Linked DNA regions of Nothobranchius furzeri. The protein of the gene in region 3 interacts with the protein of the main gene of each other region in a pairwise test. Links are inferred from orthologs where the notes say so. Each region holds a gene or a part of one and is shown on either strand. Other genes may lie near its edges.

What was found.
Region 1: the proteins of prkn (region 3) and syt11b interact in binary tests that used the Homo sapiens proteins (3 or more experiments, as listed by UniProt). The link is inferred for Nothobranchius furzeri from reciprocal best matches to the Homo sapiens genes PRKN and SYT11.
Region 2: the proteins of prkn (region 3) and rad1 interact in binary tests that used the Homo sapiens proteins (3 or more experiments, as listed by UniProt). The link is inferred for Nothobranchius furzeri from reciprocal best matches to the Homo sapiens genes PRKN and RAD1.

The regions. Positions count from the first base shown.
Region 1 is NC_091745.1:59,982,151-59,984,583, reverse strand, and holds part of syt11b (synaptotagmin-11b), read left to right. Parts: intron 1-748; coding exon 749-869; intron 870-1,416; coding exon 1,417-1,727; 3' UTR 1,728-2,433. UniProt on the Homo sapiens protein: Synaptotagmin family member involved in vesicular and membrane trafficking which does not bind Ca(2+). Inhibits clathrin-mediated and bulk endocytosis, functions to ensure precision in vesicle retrieval.
Region 2 is NC_091746.1:58,355,276-58,359,033, reverse strand, and holds the start of rad1 (cell cycle checkpoint protein RAD1), read right to left. Parts: upstream 2,857-3,758; 5' UTR 2,767-2,856; intron 2,106-2,766; 5' UTR 2,099-2,105; coding exon 1,904-2,098; intron 1,785-1,903; coding exon 1,676-1,784; intron 1,594-1,675; coding exon 1,436-1,593; intron 1,296-1,435; coding exon 1,195-1,295; intron 1,033-1,194; coding exon 934-1,032; intron 71-933; coding exon 1-70. UniProt on the Homo sapiens protein: Component of the 9-1-1 cell-cycle checkpoint response complex that plays a major role in DNA repair. The 9-1-1 complex is recruited to DNA lesion upon damage by the RAD17-replication factor C (RFC) clamp loader complex.
Region 3 is NC_091752.1:62,529,437-62,533,094, reverse strand, and holds part of prkn (E3 ubiquitin-protein ligase parkin), read right to left. Parts: intron 3,026-3,658; coding exon 2,862-3,025; intron 2,782-2,861; coding exon 2,421-2,781; intron 2,342-2,420; coding exon 2,226-2,341; intron 1-2,225. UniProt on the Homo sapiens protein: Functions within a multiprotein E3 ubiquitin ligase complex, catalyzing the covalent attachment of ubiquitin moieties onto substrate proteins. Substrates include SYT11 and VDAC1.

The DNA.
Region 1 (2,433 bases), on a different chromosome or scaffold from region 3:
GCACCTCAGACTCAACACTTTACATTTTTTCTTTTACTGACATTTTGGGAAAAGGTCAAAGGTCATTTAATTCAGCTAAATGGTGGTCCTGCTGAGATTCAGCGTTGAGTTGGACTCAATAACTCACAATCATCTTGTCAGTGTGGCGCCATGTGAAAACACTCCTCTGCCGTTTCTGTCTGATTGACTGATGCTTCTGTCAGCTGTTACCATGGCGACTGGTTGGTCCAGACAATCAGCTGCTGTGTTCTGGTTTCATCAGGTTAGTGTCGGCTGGAATCCTGCAAGGTTTAGGCCTCGTTACAGAAGAATGTGTCTGCTGTCCAGCTGGGGCTAAGTCACTAGGCTTCATTGTTTTATCATGCTTCATGTTATCGGTATTGAAGACGCCACAAGTCGTGATCACTTCAGCTCCCCTCACTACTTAACCACCTGATTAAGTCAATAGCCTGATGTAAAAGTCCCCGTACAGGTCAGCCATGTTTGATCTGAGTAAAGTAAGCTTTTATTAGCCAGGCCTTCTGAGTCTCTTCTCTGGCGTCATGCTGCTCATCCTGGTCCTCTACTGGCTCCTGTTGGTCAGCGAGGACCAACTGACTCTCAGGAAACGTCCCATGAACATCTTGGTGTTTGTTTTTATTCAAAAGAAAAGATGCGGCAGCTGTGAGTTTATGGTGTCTAAAAGTTCTGAGAGAGAAACTAACAAAAGAAAACAGGCCCAACTCACTTACTCCTGGTTCTGTTTCAGTGTGAGAGTCGTGGAGAGCTGCTGGTGTCCCTGTCCTACCAGCCCGTGTCCCATCGTCTCAGCGCTGTGGTTCTGAAGGCCCGACACCTCCCTAAGATGGACATCAGCGGCCTGTCAGCCAGTGAGTAGAACCAGAACCAACTCAGCTCAGGCCCAGGTGAAGGAACTCTGTCAGTATAAGAGACAGAAACCCCAGGTGGACGGTTGCCACCATGATCCTAATCTGACCCACTTCTTTGCGCTTCATCAGCCTTAGAACTGGTCGGAAATCACTAAACTGGTTCCAGATCAGCATCAACTGATCCCAGGAACCTTTTCCATCAACATCAGGTTGAAACGGTCTCTTAGGACTCTTCATTCCTTCTTCTTCTCTCAAACCTTATGTCCTGTGTGGCAGAAAATGACGTCGCATTAAGTTGTGCAGGTGGAATAATGTTCAGCTGCCCTCCTGATTTTTTTCTCATTTAATATTCCTTCATCTGATTTCCTGTCCTGATCCCTGCAGTGAGGGGAATTCCCTCCTGGGAACCAAACAAAACCACATCCTGTGAAGCTCAGGGCTCAGACCAGCATATAGAGAACCACTCAGCTAAAGGAGGATGACTCCAGAACGTCTGGTATTTGAGCAGAAAACCTAATGATCTGACACATTCTTCTCCTGCCATCAGATCCGTATGTGAAGGTGAACGTCTTCTATGGCCGTAAGCGCATCGCCAAGAAGAAGACCCACGTGAAAAAGTGCACACTGAACCCGGTCTTCAACGAGTCTTTCATCTACGACATCCCACCAGAACTCCTGCCTGAGATATCTGTGGAGTTCCTGGTGGTCGACTTTGACCGGACCACCAAGAACGAGGTTCTGGGCCGCCTGCTCCTCGGTCTCCACAGCCCGTCGTCCTCTGGCACCTCCCACTGGAGGGAGGTGTGTGAAAACCCCCGCCGGCAGATCTCCAAATGGCACAACCTGAGCGAGTACTGAAGGAGGAGAAGCTTCAGGAACCAGCTGATGGCACCGAGCAGCTGGGACTCCACCAGTGAACCCCCACTGGAAACAAACAGTGTACAGCACATACACACACACACACACACACACACACACATATACACACACACACACACATACACTCCTGCAGCACACACACTGTTGTGGTGATACTTAAACTCTTCGTCTCTATTATCTCTTTACAAACACGACATTTGCAAGTGTAAGAAGATTCCTGCGGTTCTTTTACTAAACAAAAAACAAACAAACAAGCGGCCCATTTCAGACACTGTCCTCGTGTCTCCTCTGGCTGTGTGTGTGTAGACGGGGGAAGGAATGCTCTCGTATAATTAAAAACTAAAAGTTTACTTAAGAAAAAAGAAAAGATCCCCTCTCGCTGTCGTTGTCATGCACTTCATTGCATGTCTGTCTGAAAAGAAGAAGTAAACCTGAGTGATGATCTGGGAGAAACCTCAGCTCCATAACAACATAACCCAACACTGACTATATCCAGTAGAATTACTCCTCAGTATAAGAACTGGTGCTGACGCCCTCGGACATCCCGCTCTGACGCTTCTCCGCGCTGACTAACCTCCTTCTCAGAAGGTCTTTGATTTAGTCGTCAGCATGCTTCCCGTCTGCAGCGGTCCTGCAGAAACGCGGCGTCCTGATCCAGAACCACAGGAAGTCACAGTCCGTCCCC
Region 2 (3,758 bases), on a different chromosome or scaffold from region 3:
TGTCCTCACAGAGACTTTACAGGACAAAGTCAAGGCTTTGGTGGACGGCTTAAGCAAGGACATCTTGTATCTGCCACAGGAGGAGGAACATAGAGCAAGAAAACGTAACCAGATTTTTGTTGTCACACACAGATGCATGAAAGCAGCAAAGAAAGACAATGAACGTGGCTCTGCTGCAGCCACCATAAGGAAGCAGGAACTCTACAGGGTCTAATATCAGGAGCTGAGTAACATGGAAACGAACTTCCTCCTAAAGTGATGTGACAGTTTTTTTTTTCTTTTTTACGTGAAACAGTGATGTCTGATCCTGGTGCTGGACGGCCACCATCCTGCATGCTTCAGAGGCTTCTGCCTTACCACACCTGATTTTAATCGGGTGACTTACACCGGGTGTGGAACGGATGTAATCTGGTTTCCACACAGCCGCTGTACGGACCAAGTACACCAACAGCAGAACACCTCTGGAAATTTGCTCCAGCGAGAGCACCAAACCTCACGTAAGAAATCTGACACAATACATTCAAATGTATACCTGTAAATTTAACACGAGCTATTCTATACTGTGTACTGGTTTTCCTGTTGATAATAATAAAAACGCCATAAAACAATGCAACACACATTTTATTTTAAAATATACCAGATGCACTTTGTTCACCAACGTCTCACTTCCTGTCTGGCTAATGTAATTTCTTTAACTTCATGAAAATCTGTGTCATCTGGAAATAACTCCGTATCAGGATCTGGGTGGATCTGTAAATTTCCTGACAGGAATGCGTACAGCTCCCGTTCTGCACTCAGAGTAAATGAAGGATTAGTCATTCAACTAAGTGTGTTGGAGCTGGAAACAACTAAAACATGCTGGATAGTGTCTCACATGCACCGTGAGACACCACTGATGTAATAAAAGCACTTTTACAGCCTGACTGCGCTCACCTGTTGGTTTGTGTCTCCTTGCACCGGAACAGCTCCATCATATCTGAATCCTTAGAATAATCATAATGGGCACTTCCAGAACTCCCAAATGTAGACAGCCTGAAAAGTTGGACAAAAACAGATCATCCATTAGACAGAAAGAGGCATCTGTGATAAATGAAACTCAAGAGTCTAGTAGGGGCAAGGATGGAAGATGTGGATGGAATGCTGGCAAAAGATTGCTCCAGGAAGTAAATACTGAGTATAATTTGGACAGTCTACCTGAAGTACGGTTGGCTGGGGGACATGGTGATCTGCAGCATCTCACTGGTCAGATCCAGCTCAGAAAAGGCTTCCTTCAAACTCTCCGACTGCAGGATCACCTTTAAAATTACACCAGATTAAAAATGCTTTAGTGTTTTTACAGGTGTGATTTAATGAAGGATAGCACATTTCTTTACATAATGACTAATATATTATTTTCTTTATCTTATTTTTCAACAGATTTCACAGAGGATTGAACCTTGTTCGTGACATTGCTGCTGCAAAAATCAAAATCGATCGGTTCTTCTGGTTCTTCAGTGTTAATCTTGCAGACTGTGACTACACCACCCTCCTCCAGGAATAATGTCAGGGGGTATCCGTACCCTTTGTAACACATCCGCAAGGCTGTTGAAATTCCTGCAATTTTATAAAATGGTTAAATAAACATTTAAAACTGTACATCAGGTGTTTGGAATAGAGTTTCAGTTTCTGATTTGACCTGCTGAAGTGCTTCCCCCAAAGATGTTCAGGCAGTCGAGCAGAACTGTGAGGTTAACTTGGAAAGTGATCAAATCTTCTTTTATGGTGAACTCTTGGAAAATGTCTGCCTAAAGAGATACAACTTTTGTTTAGGGTTTCAAGCAAACTGTCATTTATTTGGGATTCATTCTAAAAGTAAAGATTTCTTTTAAAAATATACTAACTTTTTAAAAAGCACCAAACACACCTGAATGAAAGCATTTGCCTGCACACATTTGCAGTCCTCGACGGTGACTTTCAGGCCGTTGGGTGTTGTGGTGAAAACAGCATGGTCCTTAAAGCTGATCGCTTTCAGTAAATTGGAGAGATTGCGGGCATTATCTAAACTGGTCACTAAAATGTATTGCTCATCTTCACCTTGAGATTGTGTGGACAGAGGCATTGCAGAACTGAAATAAAAAGATAAGAGTTCAAAAAAACAGTTATATTATCATAAAATTATATTTTATTTATCAGAACTTGCCATGTCAACAAGCAAAAACAGGCCAGGCCATGCTACTTTCAGGACAGCAGGGGACACACACAGCTAATGTTACAGTTTGCAGGTGTTTTGCACCAGATTGTTTTTGTGTCTCCTGTGATGTCTGGTCATTTAGGGACACAAGTCATAATATTTTAATTTTCTTTGACTCTGTATTTTGTTCTGAATGTAGTATCTTTATAATAATTTGCCCATCTTATGTTTTTGAGTGTTTTTCTTTCAGCTGAGTCTTGTAAAGGAATACAGCTGAAAGAAAAACAAATTCCTGCCACTCTACTGTCTTTTGGCGTTTCCTGGCAGGTCTTTTCCATGTAAATACATAAACAGTTTTTTACATCGCGAATCAAAATGCAGACAAGTAACATGTAGGTTTCACTTCAAGTGTGTTAATTCCTGGGTGCTTTACAAAAGCATCTACGCACATAGAACGTAGCTAGCCGAGCAACAACAAAATTAACACGGAAGCTGTAAATAAAAGAGACGCTGCGACTTCCGGTAGATGTTTTTCACTATTAAGAGTTTTCCGTAAATGACATTTAAAACTATTACCAAAGATGTAAGTCACTCACAAAAATTAGATACCAAAGCAGATGGGGCGCTTTGAAGAAAAGCGCCGAGCTTCGAACAACTTCCGCTACGTCATCTACTTCCCCGGAAGTGGCATTAATGTTGGTTGGTACGTCTTGTTCCAGAGCTTTCGGAGTAAGGAAATAATCGGGAAAGGCAACATTCGCTAAGAAATTACGTGACAACACGGTTGTTTTGTCCGCTTGGTATCTTGAGGTAATATTTTGTAAATTAAATGTATTTGTCATAGTGATATTGCCGTGTAATATTTAGGTTTCTTATGTTTGCCGGTTAGCAAACGTTAACCGGAAGTTAGTGGTGGCTAATCAGTCTCAGGGCTGTATGTGTGTAATGGAAAACACTGACTTAACCCTAAATTAGTTGTTTAGTTGAATAGGTATAACTGATTATTTTGGTCTGGTTTTAGAAAATGATTGTCTGGTGGTTAAAGATTGTGCGCATGTCAGAAACTTACATGTGACTTTGCATTCTGCTCTTACTGTTACAAACATACATGTAACAAACCTAAAACTGCATAGAGGTTTATTTTTATTAGTATTTGTTTATTTTAGCCACATTGAATTGAAAGTTTCCCAGTATTTCAGTCTCAGTTGGTTTAATTTCAGGTATGTTCTGCAGATTTGTTGATAAAGTTTGCATCTTGGGAGTTTTGGTGATCCTTTATCTGAGCCCTATACCTACCCATTTGGAACTATAACATTTCACAAAGTGAACTAAAAGATATTTGAACAATGTAAAAAACAAAATAAATAAGTACAAATGAAGCACCCAGATTAAATGAGTTGGTACATTTAGAAAAAGCACCAGGTGAGTTTCAGTGGTGACATGATATTATAGTCGGTCAAAACGATGAATGAAAGTCAATGTACACAGCTATCTAGAACTTAACACAGCTGTTTGGGATCGCAATGTGTAGGATTGTGGTCAGCAAAGTGGTTATGGGCAGATACACGACATTTGAAGTCTACAGGTC
Region 3 (3,658 bases):
TACAGTGGAGACGATGCAGCATAAGAAACAATTCATTCAAAGGCTGATGAGTACATTAGGGTTTTAATGACAATAATAGTAATAATGATAATAATACATTTTATTTAAAGCGCCTTTCAGGGAACTCAAGGTCACTGTACGAGAATGATAAAAGTCAAGCTAAAAGTTAAAAGCAGCAACAAATCACTCATAAAAACCCTAGGAAAACAAAACAAAAATCAGATAACAAGCTATCTCATAAACAAAATGAAGTCTGGAAAAGGTGAGTTGTTAGTTTGGATTTGAAGGTGGGAAGGGAGTCAGAGTTCCGGATGACTTGTGGCAGAGAATTCCAGGGGGGGGGGGGGGGGGGATCATCTGAAGGATCTGAGGACCATGGAGGTGGCACAGAAGAATGGAACAGTAAGGTGGATGGAAGATGACGATCTTAGGGACCAGACTAGAGAAACAGTGTGAATGAGATCAGATAGATATGAAGGACAAAAATTGTGAACAGCTTTGAAAGTGAGACGTAGGACTTTGAACTCGATCCACTGTTTAACTGGGAGCCAGTGGAGTTGCCGAAGGACCGGACTGATGTGGTGAAATAGGGGCATGCAGGTGATGACTCATGCAGCAGAGTTCTGGACTAACCGGAGCTTGTGGAGGGTTTATTGAGGTAGACCAACCAGAAGTGAGTTACAGTAATCTATTTGGGAAGTAACTAAACTGTGGATGAGAATAGAAGCTGAATGGGGAGTAAGGGCGGGGCGAAGGCGATTAATATTACGAAGCTAACCGAGTGACATTATTGATATGAGATGTGAATGACAAAGTGCTATCCAGAATGACACCCAGGCTCTTAACCTGGTGGGAGGAACAGGTAGTAGAGGAATCAATGCTAAGAGAAAAAGTTTCAGCTTTGGATAAGATGGATTTTGTACCAACAAGTAAGACTTCGGTTTTGTCACTATTAAGTATGAGGAGGTTGGAGGAAAACCATGATTTAATTTCAGTTAAACATGGGGAGAGGGAGGGGGAGAGAGTTGGGAATCGAGTTTGGAATCAAATAGAGCTGGGTGTCATCTGCAACTGAATGTTAAATTTCCAGAAAATATGACCTAGTGGTAGAAGGTAAACAATGAAGAGAAGGGGCCCCAGGATAGAGCCCTGGGGCACACCTCTAGTAACTGGGGACAGGTCAGATTTAAGTTTTGATTTAAACAACACTAAAGTTGGGGCTCATCTGAGGTTCTGGAGAAGCTGATTCCATATGTGAGCAGCATCTCTAATTTCCCTCTGGGATTAATGAAGTATCTTGAATTGAATTGAATAGCAGCTAAATGCATCTCCACCATGTTTGGTTCTGACCCGTGGTTTCCAAGGGATTTCAGAGCCCTGTTGGGTGTGTATACAGGAATGAGATCGGACATGTATTTTGGTCCCATGCCATTGAGTGATTTATAAACTAGTAGGAGCATTTTGAAATCTATTCTGTAGTTTACTGGTAACCAGTATAGGGATCTAAGAACAGGAGTGACATGCTCTGTTCTCTTAGTTCTTGTTAAGACTCTAGCAGCAGCATTCTGAACAAGCTGCAGTTGCTTCACAGCTTTTTTGGAAAGACCAGTTAGGAGACCATTGCATCCATCCTAACCTTCTTGTTGCCAAAGACAATAACTTCAATCTTGTCTTTGTTTAGCTGAAGGAAGTTTGACTGCGTCCAGTCATTCACTTGTTCTAGACACTGACAGAGTGAGTCCAGTGGCCGACAGTCACTAGGTGATAGGGCTAGGTAGATCTGCGTGTCATCAGCATAGCTATGATAGGCGATGTTGTTATTAAGTATGATCTGACCCAGGGGGAGCAATCAAGACATTATCAAAATCACTTTAGATAAAACAATCATTGTTCTATGTAATTGTAATTAACCCGTAAAGTGAGGAAAATCATTGTATAAGCAAGAATAATATTATTTTATTAAAGTTAAGCGTTCCATCTTCTGGAGGAAGACACACGTAAACAAGGCAGAAAACCAGCCTTGTTATGACAGGTTCCCAGATGGAGGTAACCCTGGTAATACTCTTCTATACTACATATGTAGTACTGGTCATACTCAATATTACTATACAAAGCAATTACTCCATAATGTTCGATATTACTATAATATAGTAATACTACAGAGTATTGCTATTCCTCATCCATTCTAGCAGTATATAAGCTCAGTACACAGAAGCAGTACTTACCCTACTGAGCGTTAACGTTGTCTCTTTGCAGACCCAACAGCGAACGCGAAGTTTTCCAGGCTGAATGGAACTGCAGCTTTTACAGTACACAAAGAAAGTACTACAGACACGCACATCTGGATACAAACAACATGTGTTTCACAAATACTAGCATTACATGTCAGGTACAAACATCTGGATGCAGAGAGTATCAACCTTTCTGAGCCTCAGCTTGCTGCTCTGATCTCTGAACTCTCTCATCAGCACAACCCTCCTCTCCTCCTGTTGCTCCTCTTGTTTTGTCTACTTCTCCTCCCGTTGCTCCTCTTGTTTTTTCTACTTCTTCTCCTCCTGTTGCTCCTCCTTCCCCTCCTCTCACATTTGCCTCTAGGATAACAGCAAGTCCTGAGGAGGTTGCTGGGAGACGAGAGGAGCTCAGGTCTAACCTGGTCAGCCTACGCTGCTCCTTCTCTCTGACTGGAGACAGGTGCTCCTGCAGGAGGAGGAGCTGGGAGGAGGAAGAGCCTGGAGGAGGGTGGACCACATGGACGGTACTCTGCTCAGGAAGGTCACAACCCTGAGAGGATGAGAAGGAGTAATGTGAGAAGTAACCACCTGGTGAGCATACCTGTAAATGGGTTAGTTGTAGGAGCTCACCTGCAGGGAGGTGGAACTCTGCAGCTCCCTGCCAGCAAACAGCACTCGGAGCTCCTCTGGACTGACTCCCTGTCGACTCCCCACCACCTCCTTGAGCTCAGCCACACTTGCCTCCTCCTGCAGCTCCACGGCCACACCAGGCCCCAGGTTGTACCGCACAAACACTGCAGGAACACAGGTGGGCCTCAGGTGAGAGAGTGCTGCAGAACTTCTAAGAATCCGTTTTTTCCTGAATTAAACCCAGCTGAAAAAACTGAGTAGTTTTTACGTTGTGCTTTGGTGCTGGTTTAGCTGCTGGACCAGCCTCGAGACACAACATTTGCTAGTGACACCTATGCTGTTGTTTTCAGCAGGGAAGGTCAAAAGAAGCTCCTGAAGTCTTCGACTGGGTTTTCTGCAGCTGGAGTCAAGCTCCCGTCCTCTTCCAGAGACCTGGAGCTTCAGGATTCTTCCCAGTGTCTCAGTTGTTCGAGGACCAGGGATCTCATTGGTCTTGGAACCACAGCCTTCTCCCTGGTGTTCCACACCTCTATGCATCTAAATAAGGAGATGTGCATGTGTAGTTCTGCTGGCTGTCTCCACATGTGTTGAGGGATAAAGCTTCTCGGCACGTCATAAGCTACAGATGCTTTTTAATGTAATAGATAATATCCTCAGTATTCATCCACCAGTGGGTACTGAGCCCTCTGTGATGACTTGCAAAGCATTTTTGAGGTTTTTTGTGGACAAAATAGTCTATATCAGAGCCCAGATTCTGTCAGACTCTTTCTGGTCCCCGCTAAGACACTTTTAGTCAG